3 linked regions of the Oryctolagus cuniculus genome follow. The protein of the gene in region 3 binds, or shares a complex with, the protein of the main gene of each other region. Links are inferred from orthologs where the notes say so. Each region holds a gene or a part of one and is shown on either strand. Other genes may lie near its edges.

What was found.
Region 1: the proteins of guanine nucleotide-binding protein G(q) subunit alpha (region 3) and PLCB3 are in contact, whole or in part, in a cryo-EM structure (PDB 8UQO), measured with the Homo sapiens proteins. The link is inferred for Oryctolagus cuniculus from reciprocal best matches to the Homo sapiens genes GNAQ and PLCB3. Residues at the interface, in NP_002063.2 of Homo sapiens: Pro185, Thr186, Thr187, Ile189, Glu191, Pro193, Arg202, Gln209, Arg210, Ser211, Glu212, Arg213, Arg214, Lys215, Trp216, Ile217, His218, Val240, Glu241, Glu245, Glu249, Glu250, Ala253, Leu254, Arg256, Thr257, Ile258, Thr260, Tyr261; in NP_000923.1 of Homo sapiens: Pro257, Arg258, Leu259, Asn260, Glu261, Val262, Leu263, Arg707, Asp709, Lys710, Ile719, Asp721, Gly722, Ile723, Val724, Ala725, Ser845, Asp846, Tyr847, Ile848, Pro849, His852, Tyr855, Ala856, Ala858, Leu859, Ile860, Asn861, Pro862, Ile863.
Region 2: the proteins of guanine nucleotide-binding protein G(q) subunit alpha (region 3) and F2RL1 are in contact, whole or in part, in a cryo-EM structure (PDB 9D0A), measured with the Homo sapiens proteins. The link is inferred for Oryctolagus cuniculus from reciprocal best matches to the Homo sapiens genes GNAQ and F2RL1. Residues at the interface, in NP_002063.2 of Homo sapiens: Arg37, Ile323, Tyr325, Asp346, Ile348, Leu349, Gln350, Asn352, Leu353, Glu355, Tyr356, Asn357, Leu358, Val359; in NP_005233.4 of Homo sapiens: His108, Pro109, Ala110, Met114, Gln172, Arg173, Val176, Ile177, Pro180, Met181, Gly182, His183, Ser184, Arg185, Met265, Met268, Leu269, Met274, Asp275, Asn277, Lys280, Lys281, Arg284, Ala285, Leu288, Ile289, Tyr344, Tyr345, Val347, Ser348.

The regions. Positions count from the first base shown.
Region 1 is NC_091432.1:7,051,733-7,060,822, forward strand, and holds the start of PLCB3 (1-phosphatidylinositol 4,5-bisphosphate phosphodiesterase beta-3), read right to left. Parts: upstream 9,035-9,090; 5' UTR 8,886-9,034; coding exon 8,787-8,885; intron 6,368-8,786; coding exon 6,290-6,367; intron 6,019-6,289; coding exon 5,950-6,018; intron 5,875-5,949; coding exon 5,734-5,874; intron 5,580-5,733; coding exon 5,500-5,579; intron 5,422-5,499; coding exon 5,368-5,421; intron 5,297-5,367; coding exon 5,221-5,296; intron 5,136-5,220; coding exon 5,035-5,135; intron 4,566-5,034; coding exon 4,399-4,565; intron 3,827-4,398; coding exon 3,680-3,826; intron 3,446-3,679; coding exon 3,205-3,445; intron 3,085-3,204; coding exon 3,000-3,084; intron 2,920-2,999; coding exon 2,733-2,919; intron 2,194-2,732; coding exon 2,000-2,193; intron 947-1,999; coding exon 850-946; intron 773-849; coding exon 688-772; intron 534-687; coding exon 409-533; intron 228-408; coding exon 73-227; intron 1-72. UniProt on the Homo sapiens protein: Catalyzes the production of the second messenger molecules diacylglycerol (DAG) and inositol 1,4,5-trisphosphate (IP3).
Region 2 is NC_091445.1:1,242,584-1,251,673, reverse strand, and holds the end of F2RL1 (proteinase-activated receptor 2), read right to left. Parts: intron 5,952-9,090; coding exon 4,840-5,951; 3' UTR 3,792-4,839; downstream 1-3,791. UniProt on the Homo sapiens protein: Receptor for trypsin and trypsin-like enzymes coupled to G proteins.
Region 3 is NC_091432.1:152,214,215-152,223,742, reverse strand, and holds the start of guanine nucleotide-binding protein G(q) subunit alpha, read right to left. Parts: upstream 5,506-9,528; 5' UTR 5,315-5,505; coding exon 5,179-5,314; intron 1-5,178. Other genes in the region: uncharacterized protein, read left to right, coding at 6,428-6,648, 6,914-7,019.

The sequences.
Region 1 (9,090 bases), about 150 Mb from region 3:
AGGCGGCTGCCGAGAGCCCCGCCTCCTCTCCCACCCCCCGGGACACCCCGGCCGAGCCCTCCCGGGCCACACCTTGACCCGCAAGGCGTTCGCCACGATGCCGTCCACGATGACCTCGGTGAAGGGATCGAAGGACTTGTCCGGCCGCCGCATGAACTCAGGCTTGAGCAGGTACCCGCTGCGCCCGTTGTATTCAAACACGCCGGCATTCAGCTGCATTGGCACGTCTGGGGGCCACGGCGCAGGACAGGGTCAGGGTGGGGTCAAAGGGCATCAGGGTCCGGGGGTCAGCCGGGGTCTGCGTGCGTCTGGGTCTGGTTCCAGGTTTCTGGGATTAGACGGGGCCAGAGGTCGCTCGGGTGGGGCTCGCGGAATCGGGGGTCAAGGTCGAGGGGGGCCAGGGCTCACCCAGGGTCTGGAAGTTGAGCGCGACCAGCTGGCAGCCCACGTTCCAGAAGAGCTGGGGCATGTAGTTGGAGGAGTCCACGCGTGTGCCCTTGGGGTAGATGCGGCTGAGCTGCTGCTTGTTGTATCTGAGGTTGGCAGTCAGGGGCCACGCCTGCCTGGAGCCCGCACCCCTGGGCCTGCCGACCCCCGGAGGCTCCCCAGCCCTGCCCAGGCCCCGCCCCGCCCCGCCCCGCCGCAGCCCCGCCCCGCCCCGCCCCGCCGCAGCCCTGGGCAGGATACTCCACGAACTCCATGGGGCTCTTGGTGAGCTGCTCCATGGCCTTGGTCTCCACAAAGGACGACATCTCGAAGCACTTGTTCCTCTCTGCGGGGGGAGGTGGGGCCGCGTCAGGCCTGGCGGGGGCGCGGGCCTCCTACCCCACCCCCCACCCCCGCACTCACTCCGCGCTGCCTCGAAGGACTTGAACTTGACAGGCTCAATGTAGTTGACCAGCGTCGACATCTCCTCCGTCGCGTTGACCTCGCTGCTGGCCGTGCCCTGTGACCCCAACCCCGTGTCAGCGGTGCCGGGAGCTCCCGCACCTGCTCTCCCAGAGAGGTGCTGACCCCTTCCCCGGGCCCTCGCTGCCCGCCCCTCCCCGCCGCCCAGGGCTTCGGGCACTCACGCGCTCCCAGCCATTCCTGCCCATCACCCCCCTGCTGCTCCCCTCCAACTCTGGTCCAGTGAAGGCGACTCTGGGCAGCCCCGCCATCCATCCCCTCTGGGCCCCCAAAGTCAGAGCTCACGACAGCCAGTGGACAGACACGAGACGGGCGGAGCTCACGACAGCCAGTGGACAGACACGAGACGGGCGGAGCTCACGACAGCCAGTGGACAGACACGAGACGGGCGGAGCTCACGACAGCCAGTGGACAGACACGAGACGGGCGGAGCTCACGACAGCCAGTGGACAGACACGAGACGGGCGGAGCTCACGACAGCCAGTGGACAGACACGAGACGGGCGGAGCTCACGACAGCCAGTGGACAGACACGAGACGGGCGGAGCTCACGACAGCCAGTGGACAGACACGAGACGGGCGGAGCTCACGACAGCCAGTGGACAGACACGAGACGGGCGGAGCTCACGACAGCCAGTGGACAGACACGAGACGGACGGAGCTCACGACAGCCAGTGGACAGACACGAGACGGACGGAGCTCACGACAGCCAGTGGACAGACACGAGACGGGCGGAGCTCATGACAGCGAGTGGACAGACACGAGACGGACGGAGCTCACGACAGCCAGTGGACAGACACGAGACGGGCGGAGCTCACGACAGCCAGTGGACAGACATGAGACGGACAGAGCTCACGGCTTGCCCACACCTCTGCCCTCCCCGTGACACCAGACCCTGCCGCAGCACCTGCAGCTCCTGGCGCTCAGCCCCGCCCCCACCCACACGGAAAGCCTGATTGACACTCGTTTCCATGCCTGTTTACCTGAGCCTCCTCCCTCCCCTACTCCCTCCCCCAACACACACGCCCTCCAGGAGGGCCTGACCATAGCGCTCTCAGCCCCTCCCCCGCCACCCTGCCTGGACACCGGACCTCGTCCGTGGTCGGCTTTTTGGGGTCTGCCTGTTCCTCGTCTTCCTCCTCCTCCTCCTCCTCCTCACGGTCAGCATAAGGGCCCCGGCTCGGGCCCTCCTCACCCAGGGACTTCCGAGGCTCCAGGCTGGGCTGCTCCAGTCCTGCCTCCTCCCCATTGCTCAGGCCAGGGCAGCTGTCAGAGCTGGGGGACCCTGCAGAGGACAAGGGCCACACGCAGATGCCCGAGGTGTGCCCAGTGCACATGGTGGGGACATCGGGGTGGGGGTGGGGACTCTGCACAGGGCAGTGTAGCTGGGGACAGGAGAGGCCAGGGGTATCAACCCACGGTAGTTCAGGGTCATGGGTCAAAGGTGAAGGTCTGAGTCACATACAGCAGGGGAGGGGTGAGAAGTCAGGAGCTGGGTACAACAGCCTTAACGGCCGGGTGCAGGATGGCCTGGGAGGTCGGCGGCCCGGGCTCCATCAGAGGCACACCCAGCCAAGCAAGGGGTCAAGGGGTCAGAGAGGGACCCCCCACCCGCACAGAGGAGGGCAAAGGTCAGCTGAGATGAGACCCAGCGAAGTGCATGACAGTCAGGGAGGTCCCAGCACGGGGGTCGGGGTCACACCCAAAGCGTGGGGCTGTGCTTCGCTGAGGTCAGAGGTCAGAATTCAGAGCCCCAGCTGGGTTGGGCGATGGCCCCCCGGGAGTGGGCGGCTGAGGGGCGTAGCGAGGTGGGGCCGGGCCTACCGAGCTGGGGCGAGGAGGGCTCGGTGGCGGCTGAGCCCTCGCTCAGAGCCGAGTTCCTCTGCTCCAGTGGCCGCTTGCGCACCGAGCTGTCGGGGCCGCGAGGGCTGGGCCGGTGCCGCTTCTTGTTCTTTACCAAGATGCGGCCCATCAGGTCCTGGGGGCTGGGCAGGGGCACGCCGGGGGCCAGCTGGGGGGCACAGAAGGGTCAGGGCCCGCCGGGGCGCCGCCCACCTGCCCGCCGCGCCGCCTCGGCCCCAGGCCCCGTACCGGGTACTTGTCCAGCGGGTCGATGAGCAGGGCGTCCCCAAAGATGGAGCGGCAGTACTCGGCCATCTTGGCCTGCTGCTTCGCCCTGCAAGGCCGAGGTCAGAGGTCAGAGGTCCCTGGGGGCAGCTGCACACAGGACAGGTGAGCGGCCCCGGGTCGGTGGGGGAAGAGCCGGGGGGGGGGCCGGCTCGGGGCCCCCACTCACGAGTCCACGTGGTTCTCGAAGGACAGGATGACGGGGTAGGGCGAGGTCTTGAAGGCGGTCTCGGCGATGGCCTCCAGCACGTCGCGCAGCGGCACCTCGGTGGTCATGGTGAAGCCGTGGGTGATGAAGGGCTCCTCCTCGGGCGGCCGCCCCTTCCACACGTCCAGCTCCACACAGCGGCAGCCCCACAGCAGGGCCTGTCGGTACATCTCCACCGAGGACGTCCCGGCCAGCTGCCCCGCTGGGGGCCAGGGGGTGTCACCACGGCCACCCGCCCGCCACGCCCTCTGCTCCCACCACCACCCCGCTCTAGCCAGTCCCCAGCCAGTCCTTAACCCCAGGAGGCCCCAGCCCCGCCCTCCCTGCCTGCAGGCAGCCCCCCACCCCCCACCCCCGCACTGGCTACTGAACAGGCAGCTGTGCCGAAGGCCCTGCGTGCGCCCAGCAGGGGGTGAGGGCGAGGGCGTGGGCTCACCCGTGAGGTAGGTGTTGTGCGAGGAGTTGATGAAGTAGGAGCTCAGGGGCTGGGTCATGTCCACACTCAGGTCCAGGGCTTCCAGGGGCAAGATCCCGTTCTCCTCCCCGCCCAGGTAGCGGCTGAAGCCCTCCATGGACATCTGATCTGGAGCCGGGGTCAGAGGGTCAGCTGGGGCCCTCCCGCTGCTGGGAGCACCTGCACCCCCCACTCACCTCACTCCCGGGAGTACCTGCACCCCCCCACTCACCTCACTCCCGGGAGCACCTGCCCCTCTCACCTCACTCCCGGGAGCACCTGCCCCTCTCACCTCACTCCTGGGAGCACCTGCACCCCCCCACTCACCTCACTCCCGGGAGCACCTGCCCCTCTCACCTCACTCCCGGGAGTACCTGCACCTCTCACCTCACTCCCGGGAGCACCTGCCCCCCTACTCACCTCACTCCCGGGAGCACCTGCACCCCCCCACTCACCTTCTCCCAGGGCACCTGTGCCCCCCTCACCTCACTCCCGGGAGCACCTGCCCCCCCCACCTTCTCCCAGGGCACCTGTGCCCCCCCCCACCTCACTCCCGGGAGCACCTGCACCCCCCCCTCACCTCACTCCCGGGAGCACCTGCACCCCCCCACTCACCTTCTCCCAGGGCACCTGTGCCCCCCTCACCTCACTCCCGGGAGCACCCCCCCCACCTTCTCCCAGGGCACCTGTGCCCCCCTCACCTCGCTCCAGAAACTGCTGGTTGGGCTCGTACTTCTCGATGAGCAGGCGGGCCTGGGAGGGCCGCAGGGGCGGGTACAGCACTTCGTTGAGCCGCGGGTCCCGCTGCTTCTGGTTGATGAAGTCCATGAGCTGCTCCAGCGTCAGGTACGGCTTGCCCTTGGCGCCGCTGGGGGAGGAGGGGACGGGGGGTGCCGGGTCAGGCTGCAGCCTCGCCAGCCCCGGCCCTGGGAGACAGAGGGCTGCAGCTGCCCCCAGCGTCCGCTGGCTGGGACACGGGGCCTCGGGTGCCCCAGCAGCTCTCCTGACCGCTGGGTGCCGTCGGGGCGCCAGACGAGTTGGCACTCAGCCACCGTCCCAGGCCTCGGGTCGCCTCCAGTCCTCCCGCACTGCGTGCTGGACCTCAGGCAGGTGCGACGCAGCGGAGCCCTGGGCCCTCGTCCAGAGTGGACTGACTGAGGACAGCACCAGAGGAGGCCAGCCCAAAGCTGTCCGGAACAGGAGCCGCGGCCACGCCCCCGCCCGGCCCCTGCTGCTCTGGCACGGGCAGCACCCTCCCGCGCCCGGGGCTGAAGGTGCACTCAGCAGAGGCCGGCCGGGGGCGCCGGGAGCCGGGGGCAGGGCCCAGCCCCACTCACATCTCCAGCAGAATCTTGTCGATGTCCGGCCGCAGGCACAGCTTGTTCAGGAACCGTTCGAAGATCTCCAAGGAAAACTCATCAGGCCGGATGGACTCACTCTGGGGGCCGAGGGGTGTGTGGTGAGACCCCAGGGACGACAGCCAGCCCTGGGCTGGGGCGGGGGGCACCCTGCACCCCACACACCCGGTTGAAATTGAGGCCACAGGACTCCAGCGCGGTCTCCACCCGCTTCTTGTCTGCGGAGAACATCTTCAGGATGCTGTAGGGGGGGTCAGGGTCAGTGCCGCCGGGGTGGGGCAGGAGAGGCTGTGGGGGGGAGGGGGTGCTCACTTCTTGACTGGGATCCGTCCATCCTGGTTCACCTGCAGCTTCAGCTTCGTGTACCTGGGTTGGGGGTGGCGGTGGCAAGGTCACACCCGGGGATGCCCACCTAGACCCCTCCCCCCAGCGGCCCAGGCTCACGCTTTGCGCAGGAAGGTGTTCCGGGAGGCGTTCTGAGCCAGGATGTTCATGGCCAGCTTGAACAGCTCCTCGGACCACACCTGGGGGCAGCACGCACGGGGCAGGGTGGGGTGGGGGGCCGTGGTGAGTGGGGGCCGGGGGCCAGCCCAGCCACGGCCCGCACCCAGCAAGTCAGAGAGCAGCAACTCAGCCAGGGGGGCAGAGACCCTGGGGGCGCCCCCAGCCCCAGCTCACCTTGGCAGTGTCTTCCTGCACGGCCATGAAGTTCAAGAACGTGGTGTTCACCGGGTCCGGCCCGGCCACCACCGTCATCAGCTTCTCCTCCAGCCGGGCATCGGGGCCCCCGAAGCCCAGCACCTCCCGGATCTTGGGGTCCTGAGTGGAGGAGGGCCGCGGGTGAGCAGGCGCCCCCAGCCCGGTTCTCGTGCTCCGTCCCGGGCCCTCACTCACCTTGGGCAGGCGGGCGTAACGGCCTATCCGCGTGTCCCTGATGGAACTGATGTCCAGTGTGTCCACTTCCTGGGGAACCAGAGGCCACGGTGCGTCTGCGAGGCTGCAGGCAGGAGCTAGGAGCCCCCCAGGCTCCACACCCAGCAGGGAGTGGCCACCTCCTGGCTGTGGCCCCAGCCTCAGCCCCCACCCTTAGCACTTCCTGTCTGGGGAGCCGTGGGAGAGGTCAGAGCCAGCCGCCGGGCCCCACCCCCAGCAGTGGGGGTAGAGGTTCAGGCAGGGCGCAGGTCTGGGGCAGGGGCCCTGGGCCTAAGTGAGCCGCGCCAGCGCCAGCCCTCACCATGTTGGGTCCCGTCCAGTACAAGAAGAAGCCATTGGGGTCCACGCGCAGGGTCACCAGGTTCCGACTGGAGGCCTCCTGGGGACAGCACAGGACAGCCAGGGTCAGGGAGTGAGGGCTGCTGACCCCTCCAGCCGCCACGCCACGGTGTCCAGTAGTGGCCGAGACAACGCCTGCTGCAGCCACACACCCCCCCCCCAGGCTGCCCAAGGCCCTCAGGACAAAACCAAGATCCTGGGTGCGGCCTGTGTTCTGGCCCCAGCACCACCCTAAGGTATGGCCACCTGGGTCACTCACTGCCCTATCTCCCTTCCTCTTTTTTTTTTTTTTTTTTTTTTGACAGGCAGAGTGGATAGTGAGAGAGAGAGACAGAGAGAAAGGTCTTCCTTTGCCGTTGGTTCACCCTCCAATGGCCGCTGCGGCCGGCGCACCGCGCTGATCCAATGGCAGGAGCCAGGTACTTATCCTGGTCTCCCATGGGGTGCAGGGCCCAAGCACTTGGGCCATCCTCCACTGCACTCCCGGGCCACAGCAGAGAGCTGGCCTGGAAGAGGGGCAACCGGGACAGAATCCGGCACCCCGACCGGGACTAGAACCCGGTGTGCCGGCACCGCTAGGTGGAGGATTAGCCTAGTGAGCTGCGACGCCGGCCTCTCCCTCTTAATCCCGGAAATCCAGCCCACCTCCCTAGCCCCCGCCCTGGGCTCCGCGGACCCCAAAGGTCCCGGGGCCCTGTGACGGTTGGAGCCCCCACTCCAGCAGCCCACCATGGAATATTGACGGGACAGAGGCTGCAAAGCCTGACCCCGCCAGCTGCCGAGTCCCATGGGACCCTGTGCTGCCCAGGCTCCCCGAGGCTCCACCTTCCAGAAGCGCGAGTCCCTGGGGGACGCTCGCCCCGCCTCGGAACCAGGCAGGGAGCTCCGGCTCGGGTCGTCCCAGGGGCAGAAGGGTCTCGGCCCCACTTTCTGGGGGCCCAGTCCCCGGCATACTCCACGGTCACCGCGTGACTCCGAGAGCTGGGAGCTGGGAGACCTCTCCCGCCTCAGCTCCCGCGCACCCCAGGGGCCACCCCCAGCGGGCCGCTGTCTGGTGGGCGATGCCGGCATCACCACGGCCGCCCTCCGCCCTCGCAGCTCCGTGCCAGTGCGTCCCCACTGTACAGGCCGCGAGACCAGGCCGCCCGTCTTGCTGCAGGCCCAAGGCAGGGACCCAGAGGCAGAGGAGCAGGACCCTGCGTTCCCCACCTCAGTCTCCTCATCCGCAGAACGGGACAGCGCCAGCCCCGCCCAACCTTGCTTACAGAGACCGGGGATCAGGGGTGGGGGTGGATCTGGGGACAGAAGGCACAGGAGGCCCCTGGAACTTTTGGGGTACATGGGCCTCCCCAGCTCAGGGTGCTGACACCCAGCGCCAGTCCTGCTGGGATCCCCAAGGCTGCCCTACAGCTGAAGCCCCCAGTACTGGGGGGGGGGTTCTGTGGGCACCCCCAGGCCCCTCCCCAGCCCTTTCCCGAGGGTCTTGCCTTCCAAGGCAGCCCAGGCCCCAGCCCGGCAGCCCCAAGCCCTTGGCAGCACCCCTACCCCACCCCCAGGGTCCTCTCCGGGCCTCCACTTCCTTATTTGGGTTTATCAGACTGGAAGGCAAAGGAGAAACTTCTCCCTTCTGGCCCGCCTTAGGGGAGGGGTCTCCCCGGGCCCCCCACGGGGCGCCGGGGCACCCGGGCCGGCACACCTGCCGCCCGGGCCACGCCCCCAGCCCCTCCCCCCAGCTCCCACGCCTACCCGCCCCACCCAGCCGGAAAGGAGCCGAGTCTTCCAGGCCTATGGCCTGACTGGGAAGGAGCGGCGAGGAGCCGGCCGGCGGGGTGGAGGCCCTGGGGGCCAGAGAGGGGCGGCGAGACCGTGGGTGGGGCTCAGGCCGCGGGCGGCAGCGCAGGTGGGAGCTTGGGCGTCCGGGGAGCGGCGGAGGCAGACAAGGGGAGAGGGCTCGTTGGGGTTCAAAGTCCCGAGGCTAAGGAGGGGGAGCAAAGTTCCCGGGGTGGGTGAACTTGGGGGGTGACGCGGGGCGCCGGGCCCGGGCACCAGCCCAGGAGGGTGGGGAAGGTTTGAATGGGCCAGCGGGGGCCCAGCGGCGCCCACCAGAGACGAGGATGCCCCCAGCCAGAGTGGAGGTCGGGGTCCTCCAGCCAGGGAGCCCCGTGCCGGGCAGGGGTGTGGGGGCCATGCCGAGGCGGGGAACCAGAATTAATGTGACAGGAGTGAGACCAGCGCGTGGGGGGGCTGCATTTATTGGGGTTCAAAGTCTCGGCGCGAGGAGCGGAGGCCAAATTATCCGGAGCTGAGAGACGGGGTGTCTTGGGGGGCAAAGTCTCACCACGGGGACAACTCGGGGCTTGGTTCCTGGAGCGCAGCCAGGCTGGGCCGGGGGGCGCCCGGCCAAGCTCGAGTGGAGGAGTCCCCGGATCTGGGCGGAGCAGGGGGGCCGCCGCTCTTACCTCGTCCCATTTGATGAACTTACTCCCGCGCCGCAGGGTCTCCACCACGGTGGGCGGCTCCAGCTGCAGCGCGTGGACGCCGGGCCTGGCGCCCGCCATGGCCGGGCCAGGGGCGGGCCGGGGACGCACGGAGCCCCGACGGGGACCGACGGCGCCGCTGCTTCGCCCGCGCGCTCCCGCGCGGCCCGCTCCAGCCCCGCGGCGTCAGCGTCCGCCCGCCCGCCCGCCAGTCTGTCCGGGACCGACCAGAGACTCGGCGGGGCCCGGGCGGGGCGGGGCGGGGGCGGGGCCCGGGCGGCACCGC
Region 2 (9,090 bases), on a different chromosome or scaffold from region 3:
TTATTTATTTATGTCTTCATGAAAGGAGAGAGAGAATTTGCTGTTCATTTCCCAAACATCTACAACAGCCAGGGCTAGGCCAGGCTGAAGCCAGGAGCCAGGAGCTCCATCCGGGTCTCCCCTGTGGGTGGCAGGGACCCAGGAGCCTTAGCGGGAAGCTGGACAGGAAGCGGCCATCCCCAACGGTGACTTAACCGCGGCGCCCCGCCTGCCCCTGAGTCTTTTAAGCTACTTTTATAGGCATGAGGGAGGCAGGTGTGGCGGGCGGGCGTGGTCCATCCCATACCTTCTTGTCCCGTGTGCTCTCCCCTTCCTGCCACGCTCAGGATGCCTGGAACAGGGCCCCTGCCGCAGGTGTCGGAGACCTCCTCCCTCCGGAGTCACTGTTGTTTTCCTAACAGTCATGCGTTTCACTGCAAACGCCAGGACTGGACCGCCGGACTTCACTGCTGCCTTTGGGGGGATAAACCGGGGCGGCTCTCCCAGCTGCAGGTGCTGCTGGCTCAGGCCTGGGCCCCGCTCCTCAGCGGCCTGTGTCACCAAGAGACAGATCTGCAGGCGGACCCAGCCACGGACCACGCCACACTATCCTCAAGGGAGGCGCCTCCCAGGTGTGGCCGTGACACCAGCTCAGGACTTCATCCTCATTCCCCAGGGCCTTGTTTTCCCTCCCGGACTCAGGGCCCGGGCCCGCTGTGGTGCAGCAGCGAGCTAAGCTGCCCTGTCCCACATCCCAAGTCCTGGCGGCTGCTCCCCATCCGCTCCAGCTCCCTGCTAGCCATCTGGGAAGGCAGGGAGGACGGCCCAAACTTGGACCCCTGCCACCCACATGGGAGACCTGGATGGAGCTCTGGGCTCCTGGCTTTGGCCTGGCTCAGCCCTGGCCTTTGTGGCCTTTTGGGGAGCAAACCAGTGGTTGGAAGACCTTTCTCTCCCCCCTTCAAAAACATGTCTCAAAAAAAAAACCAACCACCAGGGGGTCAGGGCGGCCTGTCCACATGCCTTTCTCTGGTGAGCAGTTTCTGTCCCGGGCCAGACCACAGTGGTTCCCGCGGGTCTGTGAGTCTGTGAGTTGGACGCCCACGTCCTCCCCAGGCTGCAGGGATGAAGGTGTCAGCGCAAAGCTATGCATGCTAATGAGCTCACAGGCCAGGAACTCCCGGGGCAAACAACCAAGAACCAACCAAGTGACACAGCAGGAAACGCCCAGGACACAGCCCTGGGAACCCAGGACAGCCCGCACAGAGAGCCAGTCAGACTTTCAGTGCTTCGGGGCTTGGTTCAGAAAATGAGAGGGCGGCAGGGCGCCTAAAACAAGCGCACGCCGGCGTCCTCCGAGGAGCCTGTGCTCGGCCCGACCCCCCAGCCCCCAGGGGCGCCGCTGGCCGCTGGCCTTGCTTCTAAGATTCAGCTGCTCCGGGAGACTCCCGGGAGTCCACTTCTCAAATCCCTCCTTCCACACCTGAACTCGCACACTCGAGGGCTTTTTGGAAATGAGTCAAGAATAGGACCAGGTCACCCACCCAGGGCACTACCTCGTCACTCGGAATGTGGCGCAGGAGCGGTGGTGGGGTGCAGTGGCTAGGCGTCACACGGGATGCCCCTATCCCCTATCGGAGTGCCTGGGTTCACGTCACACCAGATCCAGCTCCCTGTTAGTGCACACCCTGCAAGGCAGAGATGGCCAAGTCCTTGGGCCCCTGCTGCCCATGTGGGAGACCCCAGGAGTTCCTGGCTCCTGCTTTGGTCTGGCCCTTCCCCGGCTGTTGTGGCCATTTGGGAAGTGAACCAGCAGACAGAAGATCTCTGCCACTCTGCTTGCCAAATCAATTAAATAGCGTAACGCTCATATTCTCTACAAACTGTTACAAACGTTAGCTGGCTCTGGGACAGGACAACAGAAACAGGTGGCGGAGTGGAAGTGGCTTCATTGTATGCTTTGGTACAGCTCATATCATAAAAATACTAATTAAGAAACGGCAAGGACCAAAGATCTCCCCGGGGTCAGGCCTCGGACCTGCGGCGGCTTTCTTACCTCACATCCAGCACCTCCGATGTCCCATCTGTGAAACGGGCCCGATCTCCCAGGATGCTGGGAGACACAGGGCAGGGCAGGCCAGAAAGCAAAGCCTGGAGTGGCGGTGCAGGCAGGTGGCAGGCAGGCAGCCTGCGGCCGTCACGGCACAGCAGCACCCTCGCGGGGAGGCCCCGGTCCACGGGCCCGCTGCGCCCTGTCTGTGCCAGCACTTCCTGTGTGCCGGGAGGCAGCCTGGCTGCAACGACACCATAGGATGATGTTCCGTGGGGCCAGGGCAGCAGGTGAAGCCACCACTGAGTTCGCACACATCCCCATCACTGTGCTGGCTCAAATCCTCACTGCTCTGCTTCTCACCCGGCTCCTGGCCAATGCACCTGGGGCCTGGCAGATGATGGCTCAAGTGCCTGAGTCCCTGCCACCCACACCGGAGACCTGGCTGGAGCTCCAGGTTCCTGGGAGTCCATCAGCAGATGGAAGACTTCTGTCTCTCCTCCCCCCACTGCCTTTCAAATAAATATGTTTACAATCTTGAAAAACAAGAACAAGGGAGTGGGGTCTATTTTATAAAAGAGTAACATGGACTGGGGCGGGTGGCACAGGGGGATAAAACCCCAGCCTGCGGCACTGGCATCCCATGTGGGCACCAGTTCGAGTCCCGGCCGCTCCACTTCCAATCCAGCCCCCTGCTAACGCACCTGGGAAAGTACAGAGGATGGCCCAGGTGCTTGGACCCCTGCATCCACGTGAGAGATCCAGAGGAGGCTCCGGGCTCCTGGCTTTGGATTGGTGCAGCTCCGGCCATTGCAGCCATTTGGGGAGCGAACCAGCAGATGGAACACCTCTCTGTCTCTACCGCTCTCTAATAAAAAAAAAAAAAAAAAGAAAAAGAAAAAGAAAAGAATATCAAAGGAAAAAGAGTAATATGAACGATGGCCTCTCTCTCTCCACACCGTCCCAGCTTCTCCTTGGCACAACTGAACCGCGCACAGTGGGGCTCGCTGGAGTCCCTGCTCACGCACACAGTGGACCACGGACTGGGGTAACAAGGGGCCCCTGAGCACAGGCGCTGTGACCCCACCAGACCTCCGCCAGGCACTGGGCTCAGAGACGGCAGGATGACTCACGGCAGTGCAACCTGTCTCACGCCACTCAGGACACTGCCCAGGTCACAGCACATGAGCTGCTGGCCTCTGGACTTTTCCATCCGCACTTGCGGAGGGGAGCTAGAACCACGGAGCTGTAACCACAGCTGAGGTGGGACAACCGTGATAGCGACAGTGCCACGTGCTTAGGGTGCACAAACACACCACTACTCACCCTGCAAAGTCACGAGGAAGGCACAGCCAACCTGCCTAGTAAAACCAGGAAGCACCTTCCCCACGGCCGCGGGGTCAGAACCTGGCCCGGCTCGGGACCTGCGCTCAGAGCCGACTCACCATCCCCTCACCATCCCCTCACAACTCCCGGGAGGCAGACCCGGGCAGACGCGGTACTCTGGCAGAGACATGACTTGGCGAGCACTGTGAAAACTCAAAATCCCCACGTAACTTTTGACCTGGCCACTCCACTTCCAGAACCTTCCCTGCCACTCTCTCTCCACAAAGCCTGCACACAGCGTTCGAGGCAGCAGGGACGGCCTGCAGCACACCTGACAGTCTGCCGCCCTGAACACAGAGGTCTCCCACACGCCCTGAGAACCAACAACCCTTCCCCCGCCCCATGCCTCCCTCAGAACAAAAGGAAACAGCACAGAGACGATTTGTAAAAAAATTCATTTTTTTTATAAATCAGTAGCACAATGAAATAATCATTCTCAAACTGTCACGACCACAGCGGTGCAGTCGGTTTGGAGTCAAGCACCCTCAAAACGCGCCGCAAGCCCATTGTCTCTGGTGTCATTTTCCAAGCAGACGGGGTGCAAACCCAGACACCCTTCCCCCCCCCCCACAGCGAGTGAACACTGACCACAAACATCCCAACAACTCTTTACAACACTAAACGGTGAAGGATACTGCCAGTTGCGGTCTGTAACTCAGACCAGAGTCACTTACAAGTCCAACAGAAGCAGAGTATACAATGTTTAAAATCCTCCAATAGCCAGAAATAAACAAAGCCCAAAGGACTTAAAAGGAAACAATGTATCAAAAAGGCAACAGATTTCATTATGGGGTGAACATAAAAGAGACACAGAAAGTTCTGGGCTTTCAAAAACCATTAGCGCACCGGGAGGAGAGGGGTTCTCCAACCTCCGGGGGCTCCGATCGGCACAGCCTTCCAGACACAGATCCGGGGCTGCTCCAGCCTTAGCTCGCCTGACTGCTTCCCACCTGCTCCGCGGTGACTGCTGATGGCGCAGTGAGAGCACCCGGCACCGCAGCTCACAGACACCGCCTGGGCCCTGGCGCCGGGCGGCTCCTGCACCTCTCCGGGGCTTACATGCCTGTGAGCTCAGCGATCGGGGTGGGGGACCACCACGGGGGCCCTCGGGGCCAAGGAGACCACAGCTGACCTCTGACAAGAGAAATGGCGGCTGGGCCGGGAGTGTGGTCTTCGCGCGTCTGACCTGGTTTCTCCGACTTCCTGAGAAGTCTGCAGCTGGCCACGCAGCGTCAGGGAGCGTCTGGGCACATGGTCCCTGAGGCGGACACTGGCGTCACGTCCCCGCCACGCACGTGGGGACGCACTGGGCCGTGCTGAGCGGCAGGGGCCGGGACCGGAGATGGGGACGCACTGGGCCGTGCTGAGCGGCAGGGGCCGGGACCTGAGCAGTCAGCGGACGCTTGCGCCTGAGCTCTGGGGGCTCAGTAGGAGGTTTTGACGCTGGTGGAGCTTGAGGAGTAGGAGCTGGACTTCCAGGAGACCTTCTGGGAGCTGAGGGACACTTGCATCCGCTTCACGGTCCGCACGCTGCGACACAGGAGCGCGTTCTTGGCGTGGTCCCGGAAGTCCTGCGACACGAAGTAGTAGACGAAGGGGTCGATGCAGCTGTTGAGGGTGGACAGGCAGAGGGCGCCCAGGTAGAGGGCGTACACGTGGCTCTGGCCCCGGGTGCGGATGAGGAAGTAGTGCACCACCAGCAGAAGGTTGCTGGGCGTGAAGCAGATGAGGTACATGGCCAGCACGGTGATGACCAGCCGCACGGCTCTGCGCCGCTTCTTGCCCGAGTTCTCGTCCATGGCCGAGGAGCGGAGCGTCCTGATCATGAGCACGTAGGCGGAGGCCGTGAGGAAGGCCGGGAAGAGGAAGACCCCGATGGCCAGCGAGAGGAAGTAGCTGAACATGTCTCCCACCAGCACGTCCTTGGGCAGCACGTCGTGGCAGGTGGTGATGTTCAGGGCCGGGATGTGGACGGTCTGCCGCACGACGTACAAGGGGATGGTGACCAGCAGGATGAGCAGCCATATCCCCAGGGAGACGCCGAGGGCCAGCCTGGCCGCCCTGCCGGGGTGCACCATGGGGTTCACGATGACCCAGTAGCGCTGCACGCTGAGGCAGGTCATGAAGAGGATGGAGCAGTACATGTTGCCGTAGAAGAAGCCCACCAGCACCTTGCACAGGGCCTCCCCGTACACCCAGTGGTTGCCGTGCACGTGGTAGGCGATCTTCAGAGGGAACCAGAGCACCGACAGGAGGTCGGCCACGGCCAGGTTGGCCATGTAGATCACGGCGGCGTGCTTCTTCTTGCTGCGGAAAATGAAGACCCACAGGGCCATGGCGTTGCTCGGCAAGCCGACCACGAACACCAGCGTGTAGACCACGGGGAGGAAGACGGTGGTCAGCTTCCCCCTGAGCACGGACTCGGAGAACTCGTCCACGGAGAGCCCCGGCTGCACTGGGACGCCCTTCCCAGTGACGGCCGAGGAGCCGGTGTTCCTGCCGATCAGACTCCGCCCCTTAGAGGTCTTGTTGGTCCCTGTGAGAGACAAACAAGGTCATTGCCACGGAGACGCTGGCTCCTGGCTCCTGGCTCCTGGCTCCTCTAGACACAGCGCCCGCTCAGGGGCTCGCTTTGGGGGATGGCGCGACTGGGATGTTCTTGCCTTGGTGCTTTTTATAATACGTGATTTTTTTTTACAACTTATTTATTTAGATTATTTATTTTAGATTTATTTAATTAGAGAAAGACAGACAGACATATCTTCCATCTGCTGGTTCACTCCCCAGATGGCTGCAATGGCCAGGGGTGGGCCGGGCCAAAGCCAGGAGCTTCTTTCAAGTCTCCCACGTGGGCAGCAGAGGCCCAAGCACTTGGGGCATCTTCTGCTGCTCTCCCAGGCCACTGGCAGGGAGCTGGATCGGAAGTGGAGCAGCCGGGACTGGGACCGGCACCGGTAAGGGATGCGGCACGGCTGGCTGCACCACAGCGTGGGCACCGACAAGTGTTTTTTTTACTGGAAGTTCTTGTGAAGCCCCCCAAAACACCGATTTCTGGAAATCACAAAAAGACCAGTCCTATCTCAATATTTTTTTCTAACAAACTGCACCCACCCATTGGCTCTCAACTACTTGGTAGAAATCCATCCAGGCTGAGCGGGAACTGCCTCCCAAGCCCTCGAGAGTGTGAGACAGTACGTCCCGCCCAGCCCCTGTCCCAGGGCAGCCTACGGCCACACCTGTCCCAGAGTTCCACCAGCATACGGGACAGCCCCTCTGCGCCCAGCACGGGGCAGGGATTCCCCTCCTCCGCGCTCAGGCAGACAAGCCCTTTGGCCCCCGGTCACGGGGCAGGAGGGGATGCTGATGACCAAGTCACTCTGCCTTCCAGCATAGCTCCCCCTCCCTCCCCGCAGGATGAGCTTAACCCCAAAACCACAAAGGAATCCACAGGCACACTACCCAAGCAAGCATCCACAGACCACCAGCAGAGGGAGCGAGAGCGTGGGGCGGAGTCAAGAATTCACTTTAACGCCTGAGACCCGGGGACTTCCTGCGGCTACCACCAGAGAGGACAGCCAGCCCCTCCTGCATCTCCCTCAACCCCCCAACCACCCTCCCCACTGCCACCATGCACCCCTCCCTCCCTCCCTCCAGATCCCCTGGGGACCAAGGGTGCTCACCATGGGTGGGGCGCTGGACAGTGATGGGATCCATGACTCACCTTCCACTTGTGCAGTCTGGCAGGTGGCCCCCAGAGAGCAGCCCAAGTCTCGTTTCCCGTAACTGAACCTGGCCTTGCTCGGGCAAGGGGCTCTGCAGGCGTCACTAGGAGCTCTGAGATCACCCAGGGGAGCCTAGCCTAGGACAAGGGTCTCTGAGAAAAACGCAGAGGGAGGTGGAGACAGCAAAGGAGACATAGGACAAAGTGGTGTGAGAACAGACTGACGCCAAGGTCCGGCCAAGGAATTCCAGGAAAGACCAGGATATTTCTAGGAAGGCCAAGTAAATGCCAAGAGCCGCCAGGAGCCGGAAGCATCAGGTGCAGACTGTCCGGGAGCCTCAGAGGGAGTGATTTCAGACTTGCCTCCAGCAGGGGGAGGGAACCCATCCCTGCTACAGGAAACTCACACGCTAGGGGCTAGGGACAAACCAATCGCTACTGCTCCAACTGCATTTGTAAGTTTTCAGATAGAATCCATCATGTTCAAGTAAAAAGGAACATGCCTACACACTACAGTGCCTTTCAAATACTTGATCACAACTTACAGGAAGAAACACGTCCACTCCCAATACATCTATGCATAAAAATGTGTCACAAAAAAACTAGGTCCTCCATCGTATTACCCAGGGTGCATCCTGATATGGTCTATTACCCAGGATGCACCCTGACGCTCTGTATTTCCCAGGGTTCACCCTCATGCTATTTCCCAGGGTGCACCCTGATGGCCTCTATTACCCAGGGTACTCTATGGTGCTATTTCCCAGGGTGCACCCTGATGGCCTCTATTTCCCAGGGTGCACCCTGATGGCCTCTATTACCCAGGGTACTCTATGGTGCTATTTCCCAGGGTGCACCCTGATGGCCTCTATTACCCAGGGTGCACCCTGATGGCCTCTATTACCCAGGGTACTCTATGGTGCTATTTCCCAGGGTGCACCCTGATGGCCTCTATTTCCCAGGGTGCACCCTGATGGCCTCTACTACCCACGTGCACTCTGATGTCTCTCACACTATTCTAGTCCATTCTTACCCAACACCAACCACCACACTGACTTCACTGCATGCTCCACTTATTTGTTTTCCAGAGTAACTAGTTCTCGAGTGCTCCAAGAACTAGCATGCACCTGTGATCCTCGCCCCGGCAGAGCGGCAGGAGTGGCTGTGACAGCGTGCACGTGGCCTGCTGGAGGCGCGGTCCCCAATGTGATGGGACTGAGAGGTGGGTGGGTGCCCTCGGGAAGCAGCCACGCTGGCCTTACAGGGTACGTCAGCTCGCGTGCTGTCACACCAGAGCACCTCCCCTCTTGCCACGTGGCCTCCCCCAAGGCACCTCCTGCCCGGGACACATCGCCAGGCTGTGATGTACCCAGAAGGGCGCTTCCCCAGAGGCTGAGCAGATGGGGCTGCCCGGCCTTGGACGCTCCAGCCCCTGGAATAGGTCTCTTTCCCTGCTTACTGCCGAGACTCAGGCCTTGGACAGTCGGAGTCGGACTGCAGCATCTCCAGTTCCAGCTGTAGAGTCGCTGAACGTGACTGCGAGCCCTGGACCATGCACGCGGGGAGACGCACCACGGAAGGACTGAGCGAGGCTCAGGGGCGCACTCAGCGGCCATTCCTGCCAGGCCATGGGCTTGGCCACCTGACAGCAAACCCACGCCCCGGCAGGGTGACGGCAGTGAGCTCTGGAACATGAAACTGTCTCAGTCCCGTAAGCGTCCCCTCCCAGCAAGGCCCAGCATTGCCTCCAGCCCTCCCAGTCCATGGCGGCCTTGCAGCAGGGACCACTGATACAGCCTCACTGCCAGGCAGTGGACAGAGGTCACCCCCACCAGCCCGTCTCTAAAACCCACGACCCTAACCACGCCAGCCTCCACAGCCTCGCGGGGGCTCCACGCTGCACTCCACAGGGACCCACGCAACTTACAGCTCCAAACAGAATATTCACACTTTCTAA
Region 3 (9,528 bases):
TCCCTCTACAACACCCAATCAACATTTCCATTAACATCAATAGAACTAATAAGTCTCCCAGGAGAAAAATTAATATGAATGCAGGAATCACGATCATCCTTGGAAAATCTTAATTTCTTTTCAAGTATAAGCTTGTCTGGATCATAAAGAAAAATCTCTTCCTTTTTTCAGCTAAGTTTAGTATCACATGCAGCCTCACAACTACAAAAGCTTTTTCAGGCCCTTAAAAATCCATGTGTAATAAAAATTCTAACTACAGACACTTCTGAAAACTGAACCTAAGCCATCTCTCAAACAGTGAAGCTGAATTGCTGTTGTTGTTGTTTTTTTTTTTATGAAAAGGAGGTTATCAAAGTTATTTGTAGTAAACAAAATGGCTATTAAATTATTCTTCTGGTTCTCCTTTCCAAACTCACCTAAAAATATCTGAACAGATACTCACGAAATAAATTCACTGTTGGGTAGGGTTTGAATCCGGGCCAAAGTGCCCACAGGAAGAAATAACCTAAGCACAGGACTGACTGTCACATGCCATCCACATAGCTCAATACAAGATCTCACTCTGAAGGCACTGCTACACAGTCAGGGCTACAGGCAGATTTTCATGACGGATGTCTCCACTTCACTCTTCAGGTATAAACTTTAAGGACTTTGATCAAAGGAATAAAAAAAATAAAAAAGAGGGAATGCATCCAAATAAATCCTGACATTTAGAAACATACTCAACACTCAGAAGCTAACAGTAGCAAAAAATAAAACTGGCTGATCCTTAAAGCAGCTTCATCAACACCATATTCTGGTCTTTCCAGGGAGATGATATTATTAGGGTTGGTGGAGAAATGCTTTCATTCTAGAGTTCTAAGGAGCACCTCTAGACAGCCAGCAGCCTCTAGGTTAACTGCAGCCATCAACCTGCCCAGCCCTCCCCCATCCCCAGTCTACTAAGGACAGAGGGAAGGGTGCTTTGATCCAAAGGTGTGCATGAATGAACCCTCCATATAGTCTAAATTGGCCAGAACATTCCCAGGCTTCCGAGTCTCTTCTTGCTCTCCAACTGTTCAGCGTTCAGTACAAGATGTATGCCCCTTGTATCAAAAAATGTTCCATCTGCAATCCCTAGAATTCTGTATTTACCCATTGTGGTTTTCCTCATGTAACATTGTTAAGTAAATCACAAAAATCTGTTTGGTCATCATCTGTTCTCAACAGAATATTAAAAATTCACTCTGCTAAGTGCATCATAGAGAAAAATGTCTGGCAAAAAGACAACAGGGTTAAACCACCCACTACATGATAAAAAGGTAATCAAGATGACAACAGGTTTTTTTCCTTTAAATTTTCACTTTGGGCAAGACTGTTCCATTCGCAGTGTACCCAGCACAGAACTGTAATATACAGGATCAACTATGTGATGCATTTGTAACCAACTGGCTCCAACAGCCACATACAATTTTCAAAAGATCATGATTTTATGTGCTGTAGATAAAAACATTACCTATCCCTCTGGCTCTTATAATTTATTCATTATTATCAGATCCCAACTTCTAGCAGGAGGGTCACAAATAAAATCTTTCATTCAGCAAATACTTTCTGAGGGCATTCTATGAGTTAGAACATGTACAACAAGCTGAGATTTAATAGTGAACCAAATAGACACAATCTCCATGCCTACAATCTTGCAGTGCAGAATAGGAATAAAATCTACAGCCATGCATGTAATTCAGTTCAGAAAACCAAGACCGCATTCATTTAACATTGACCTAAACTTTGCCTTCCTTCTCTCACTTCCTTCTCTGCCTCCCCTTCCTGCTCTCTCTTCTCTACCTCTCCCTCCCTCTCCCTCCCAAATTCGCAAAATCTTCCTATTTGATGATTATGATCTAAACAGAAAAGATGTCAAACATGCATAAAATAAGAGCAGGTTAAGAGGGGAAAAAGTGTATCTTCTAGGAATTGAAAACAATTTCACAATGAACATCTATAACCCAAGGCAAGCATTTGGGACAACTTGTTTTACAGACCTGAAGACAAATTAATATTAAATGGTGTGGCCCATGTACTACTGAAAGAAATATTTAGTGAATTCATGAATATTAATCAAAGCAAATATAATGTACTTTTCACCTAGAAAATACATAAAAACAGCAGTAAAGTTAAAACAGAGCATGCTTTTGTATGTCTATGTAGAATACAAAGTTTCCTTAGGTGTCAAAGAAAACAATCACTAAAGTAAATAAATTAAGAGAATAATTTTAAGAAAATATGAACTCAGAAATTAAGAAGATATTCTTAAGGTGGTAGATTTCAGGGTTCATTTTTAAAAAGATTAAAAATTAAAATATGCAAGTACTGCAGAATAAATTTGGAAGACATTACCATAATGGCTGGATATGAATCAAAACAGCACAAATTCTACTGCCACACTTCTGTGTCGTCAGCCAAACACTACTTTCCTTCTCTAATTCCTCCATATTATTAATATATATTAAATAGTTGTGTGAACAAATGCAAGGGTACACACATTTATCCCTACCACACAATTCCTTTAAATGCTGCCATGTCTTAAATTAAAATTTACTTTGAAAATAATTTTATCTTGCATTTCATTTACTATAAGGTTGATTCCTCCATTTAAGTAGGTAGTTTAAAATACCAGATCTTTAGACACTCTGAGAGAACACATTCTGTAACCCCCTCCCTCGGGGTAGGCTCTGTGTAAATGAAGGAAGGATCGGGAAAATTCAGGGTACTCATCAGAGCAGCACAGCAGAAATCCCTCTGCCGGAAGCCGCCCCGTTACCCTTCCCTGCTCAGCTCAGCCCTCGGCTCCCTCCTGGACTCACCCACCATTCACACACAGGCACACATCTACATTCAGCACCTATCTTTACCACGTGAGTAGTGTGGGCACTGCACTGGTTAAGTCACAAAAGCCACACGCCTAGAACATGAAGTAGGAATTCCTAACGATGTGTGAGGATCAAGCTTCTGTCAGAGAGATGCATTTTCAAATGGCACTCATGAATGTAGATGCTCAATTAATATCCTATTTTTCTACCACTTCTAATGGGCCATAGTATGGGGATGAGGTGGGCCATATGAAACCCTACTGAAATGTCTAATAAGAGCGAAGTCTCCACACCACCACCACGTAAGCTGTGAAACTGTACCTTACATTTTTCTTTCCTCAGAAAATGATCTCCCGGTTCATTCCATAAAAGCACAGCACAGGGCATGTAATTAAGCCTCTATGGAAGTGTTCTTCCCTCTTGGGCATTCAAACCCAGGCCCTCTGACAAAGCCCCTGTGCTAAGGCACAGCTGCTGGGAAACCCAGAGCTGTCATAGTTCAGGCCAACAGAGCTGACTGCAGAGACCTTAGACGCCCTGTTCACAGCTAAACAGAAACAAATAAAGGCAGTAAACAGGGCAAAAGGAAAAGAAAACCCAGCTCTTCAAACAAGTCTCTCTTCACCACATGTTTTCTCCCCTGAATTCTGTATTTAAACACCTTCCCTTGTTCTCTCCACTTTCTTCTCAATCCCGAGAATTCAGAAAATGTTCAACCTCCAAAATGAGAATAAAATTTAAAAAAAATATATTTTTTTAAAGAACCTCACTTTCCAAGCGCAGTGTTTCCCTCCCCCGGCTTCACGGCCTCAAGCCCACCTCTTCCCCCCAGCCCGCTGCCTTCTGTTCCTTTATGAACCTGTGTACATTTGTCTAACAGGGCTTCAGAAGGAAGACACACAGCCCGGCGAGCAGAGTAGCCATTCGTAAGTACGGGTGGCCCTGTTATTTTGTTCCTGTTTGCAAAGGATCCAGTGCACGAGCAGTTGAGTCCCCAAAGACAGTTGGTTCTCCAGCAGATGGAATGCTCAAGATAAGAGAGGGAATACAGGCTTCTGCCACCCGAACTGCCCAGACCACACTCTCTCCTGTCGGAGACGCGCATTTATTATGCACACACAAACACGCAGAACACAAGTGCAGACGTCCTCCAGGCCTCTGCCGACCACAATAGCTCCGGGTGCCCTCACGCTGGCTTGTCTGTGAACCCTGGTGGCCTGATTCCGAGCATTCTCTCGGAGGTAATCATCCATAGACGCCTATTCGAGAGACGGCATTCTCTTGCTAACTTCGCGTGAAAGCAGAACGCGGGGCTGTTGATTCAGAGACCAGAGGGAAATTTTCCTTTGCAGCCCTGATGCCCAAGACACTACAATGCTGTCCGTTTCAAACAAAAGGTTTCTCTCTTTCCCCCGGAGAGGGACGGAAAGGCTGCGGTACTGTTGTGAATTCAGGCCTAGATCTGGGATGCCTCATTAGACAAAAGATACCCGTCGCTGTCAACAACCACGCCAGCCACGCTCCCCTCGCCCCGGTCCTAATCCGGAAGGAATGGTGCAGCCGAGAAGCACGCCTGCCACCATCCACTGGCCAAGAAACTCTGCTGGGCCCCTCCTGTGGGTGGCCTGGTGGCTGCAGAAGAACACTCGGGTGACACACGGGGGCTTGCCCGCCCTCCCCGCCCCCACCCCACGAACCCCTGGCTGGGGAGGGTCGACCCCTGCTGGGCTTCTAGTTTTCACCCCTGGGGATCCCACTCGCCAGTCTGCCCACCGGTGGCTCCCCCACTTCTCCTGGACCCCAGAACGCACCGATAATGGATGCACAACGGCCACCTCACGGCGCGCCATCTCCCCCCCGCCCGCCCGCGCCCTGTGCCCCGGCTCGGCTCGCCACCCTCCGGGCGACATACACACACACACACACACACACACACACAGCTCCACCACCCCTGGGGGCGCGGCGGCCCCGGCGCTGCAAGTTCAAGCCCTCAGCCCACCTTCCCAGCCCCGCGCCCCTAGCCAGATCTGATCTGCCATTGAGCAGAGACACCGCAGAGAACGCAAGCCCCCCCCACAACAAGGGACACACAAGACAGCACGCGCCGAGGCACCCAACAAGGCAGCCCCGAACCCTCCGCGCGCACGGGCGTGTGTGTGCGCGCGCGCGCGTACCCGCGCGGGTGCGGGTGGAGGCCGGGGGCGCGCCCGGGGAGGGTAGGGGCGAGCCCGGGGGCTGGGGGCGGCTGCCCGGAGGGGCCGGAGGCGGGGGCTGGGGGCGCGCAGAGGCCCGGGGGAGGGCCCGCACGGCCGGCCCGGGCCGTACTCACCCAGTAGCAGCAGTTTGAGCTCCCGGCGGGCGTCCCGCTTGTCCCTGCGGAGCTGCCGCTCGATCTCGTCGTTGATCCGCCGGGCTTCCTTGGCCTCCTCGCTCAGGCAGCACGCCATGATGGACTCCAGAGTCATTCTTCCAAAGTGCCTCCGCTGCAGCCCCGCCGGCACCCCCTGCTCACACGCGCGCACACACACACCCTCCCGCCCTCGCTCCCCCGAGGCAGCGGTGGCCGCTGAGCCCCCGCCGCCTGGGCGCGCGTCCGGGATGAGATCGCGGAACCGCCGCGGGGGCGACGGCCAGGGCCGGGGCCACCAGGTGGGCCGGGGTCTAGGCGGGCGCAGGAGGCCTTCGCCGCCCGGCGGAGCGAGGCGGGCGCGGGAGGCGGCCGCGGGCGCTGGCTCGGGGGGCGCGCAAGGGAAGGCCGCCGCGCCCGGCCTCGCTCAGACGCCCGCGCCTCCTTCCCCGGGAACGGGCAGCCCGCCTCGCCCCCCGCGCCGCCGCCGAGGCTCCCCTACGGTTTGCGCCCGGCGGCGAGAGCACATCCACCGGGGCGCCCCCCTAGCGAGCGGCCGCCGACCGCTCCCCGCACCCGGCGCGCCCGCTCCTCGCCGCCGCCTGACACGGCTCCCGGGCGCCCGCGGCCCTGCCCGCGCCCACCGCCCGGCTAAGCGCGCAAACCCCGCTCGCCGGCCCGGCCCGCCGCGCGCTCCTCCGCCTCCGCCTCCGCCTCCGCCTCCGCCAAACGCCCACCCCCGGCCCCGATTGCCAGGCGCGGAGCGGCTGCTCAGTGATCGCCCTCCCCCTCGCCACACACACACATTTTCTTCTTTCTCTGAACTGGAGCACAGATCCGGGAGGGAGGCGGCGGCGGCGGCGGCAGCGGCGGCGGCGGGAGGAGGCGGAGGAGGAGGAGGGGCAGGAGGCGGAGGCGGAGGGACGGGCGCGGGAGGCGGAGCCGCCCGGCCCCTCTTGGAAGGCTCTCCCTGGGCTCGCAGCCGCGCGCCGCGCCGCCCAGTGCGGCTCTCGCCTCGCTCGCGCAGCTCCCTGACTGGGCCGGCCCCCTCAGGCTCCGCGGGCGCCGCCCTCTCCCGCGCCCTCCGTGGAGGCCGGCGGGCTCCGGCGGACGCAGCCGCCCTCGGCTAGGGGCAGGGCCCGCTGACAGCCGCTCGGGTTGAGCGGGCGGCTGCGACCGCGGGCCGGAACCCCGGCAACCTGCGGCCGCCCGGGCGTGGTGGAGCGGGAATATGGCGGCCTCCGCCTGCCTCTCAGCCCACCAGCCCCGGAGCGCCGCCTCGGCCCCGCCTGGAAGCCGCGGGAGTCGGCCCCGAGCCCATGCACCGGCTGGCGCCGGAGACCCCCTGCCCGGCTCCCCGCTGGCAGCGCCGGAGACCCCCTGCCCGGCTCCGCGAGGCCGCTGTGCGGTGGCCTCTGTCTTTTCCCGAGGTTATTCCTCAAACGCCATTCGGTTAGAAGCTGCCTCTCGTCACTACTGACCCCAGTTGAATCTTAGAAAATACGATTCTCTCCGGGTGGGCTGTGGCCGGAGAGGAGTGGTCACTGCCTCCCCGAGGGGTAGGGGGCGAGGACCCTGCAATTCACTTGAGATAGAAATCTGAGCAGAAAAATGAAGCTGCCCAAGTTGCCGGGAGCTTCCTGGCAGGCTCCAACTTTTCATGCTGTTGAGGTGATTTTGGTTTTGGTTTTCTGTTGTTCTTGTTTCCGTTTTACAGATGCTCCTCGTTTTTGAAAAGGCACGCGATGTTTTCACAGCCAAGTCACCGAATGTACCCTGCTCCACCGAGATGGAACTTATGGGTGGCTTCTGGGAGCATGTAAATCCGTGCGGGATGAAAGAAAAGAATAAAAAATTTTAAATGGGAAAATCAAGATTTGTTTCTAGGTTTTTTTTTTTCTTATTTTTCCTTTTCCACTTCCGGTTAAGTTTATGTAAAAGTGTTGCGTATGTGTTTCGTGGTGATCTTCCCGATAAGTAACAACAAGAAGTTTGCTCCTTCAGGCTTGATTTGGCCTGAAAGCTGCAAAAAGCCAAGCTCTTCCGCCTCCAGCCTTGATGGAAACCGAGGTCTTCAGGGTAAATGGTGTTTTCTGAAGAGAATCGCTGTTCCACGTTTGCTGGGAGATGCTCCTGGTGCCACGGCTGTGCTACTGCTGCAGGCCAGGAATGCACCCTGGGTTCATGGACACCAGGTGTGCGACTTCCTTCCTTCATTTATCATTTCCTCCAGCCCTTCACACACACTCCAAGCCAGCACTTAGATTAAGCAAGCCATCAAAACATAAAATCTATATTTTTTAAAAGGATTTTTGGCCAAGGAAAATGATTGAGTTTCACCTTGGCCAGGAGAGTAGAATGAGCAAATTTATACGAATGACTACAAAGAACCACTACACTTGCTATGGAATGAAAATTTAAATATCAGTGACAAAAGAAATGAAAAGAATGGCATTCAATATGCAGTGATGTAAAATGGCTTCACGGGAAAACCTGATATGGTTGTATCCTGTAATACATGGATATATGTGAGTAGGAGAAATACAAAACACTGGAAACCAAATAGCTCTCTTGAGCTTCAAATTGGGTTTCCTAGCCTAGTGTCCTCTGAGACTTGAAAATGTCTTTCAAAGTGTGCCAGAAAACTATCAGAAGACTATCAGTACATTTGACCTATTGCTTGATGAAAGAAATTAAACTGCTTCAACAGATCTCAGATATAAACTTTTGTCATCCCCTATTCTCAGCATCAGAGACATACCCTGGCTGGCTGTTACTAGATATATGAATTGTCATGACAAGTATTAGGAACAAATCAAGAAGTGAGGAAAACCAAAACTCTAGTGATAAAACAATGTCTAGGTGTCAAGAAGGAAGCAGGAAAAGAAAGTCCTAATCTGAATGCAGATGAATCCAAAAATTCTTTGATATTATCTGGAAAGCATGTGCCTAGCAAATATTCCTACAACCAAAATCAAACAATCCATGCAGAAATTACTGATGTTGACTCTGTCCTAGAAGCGTTAGGGAACTAAACATGGATCCTATTACAAAATTCCAGGTTTTTAATCAACAAGCATTTACTCATTACCTACCCTGTATCAGTAACTAGTGGTGAAGGTCCAAGAAGACACGCCTACTAAGATAAGATATGGTCTTTACCCTCAGTAGGCTTAATAGTCTAAAGGAATAATGAGCCTCTGAACAGCCAAAATGAAACACAAAGTGAAGTCAGGTTGTATTAAAGTTGTGATAGAAGTCACAATGTAAAGAAAGAAAAAGGAAGGAATAATTCCTTCTGTCCTCCCAGGAAAGGGGACGTTTGTACTTTAAAGAACAAGTAGATTTTCCAGAAATACATATCACATAAAAGCAAATTAGCAATAGACAATAGACCATTTTGAAAATTCAGGGCAGTTACCAGAGACCTCAAAAGCAAAGAACAAAACAGTAAGAGCATTGAACTTTAGGGGGAAAAATGGTAAAACCTTCACGTCTATGGTGCCCTGAGAAGGACACCCACCCCCACAAGCACATCACTGTGTCCCTAGGGGACTGGAAAAGAAAACAAAAAAGGCATAGTTCAGTCTCACACAGTGGTTTTGCTCTTCTAAAGGCATCTCCTGGGGAAGAAAACCTGTAGGGGTAATCCAGACACGCCTGTGGGGATGCTTCATCCTTATCTCTCAGCCCCCCTCACCTCCTCCCTCCCTCCCCTTCCCTCCAGGATCAGGAGCCGCTTGAAAGCCTGGACTTCAGCTTTCCTGACACCCAAGAGCGTGCCTAGCCGAGAACAGATCCTCAGTAAGTGATGGATAAACAAAAGAATGCCACTCACCTACATCATCCACAAACACGCTCGCAGACTGCCAGTGCAGGCAGTGTCTTATGCCAGATGCCCGAGGCATACAAAGTCGTTAAAGACTCTATAATCTATTTGGGCAGACAGTCCTCATGCATAAAGGAATACTCCACAGACTGCAGAGTTCAGGAGGAGGACCAGTTACATAAGCCACCATTCAAAGGAGGGTGGGAAGGCACATGATGGTCCCCTGAGAGACAAATTAGGGGGCAGGCGTTTGGTACAGCACATGAGTAGACACTTGGGATGCCCGTATCCTGTATTGGAGTGTGTGGTTGGAATTCCAGCTCTTTGACCTCCCTACCCAGCTTCCTCTTAGTGCTTACTTTGAGAGGCAGTAGGTGGTGGCTCAAGGGCTTGGTCATCGCCCACCCATGTGGCAGACACAGATGGAGTTCTGGGCTCCTGGATTCAGCCTGGTGGGCTTTTGGAGGGTGAACCATGGAAGATTCTCTCTCTCTCTCATGTGC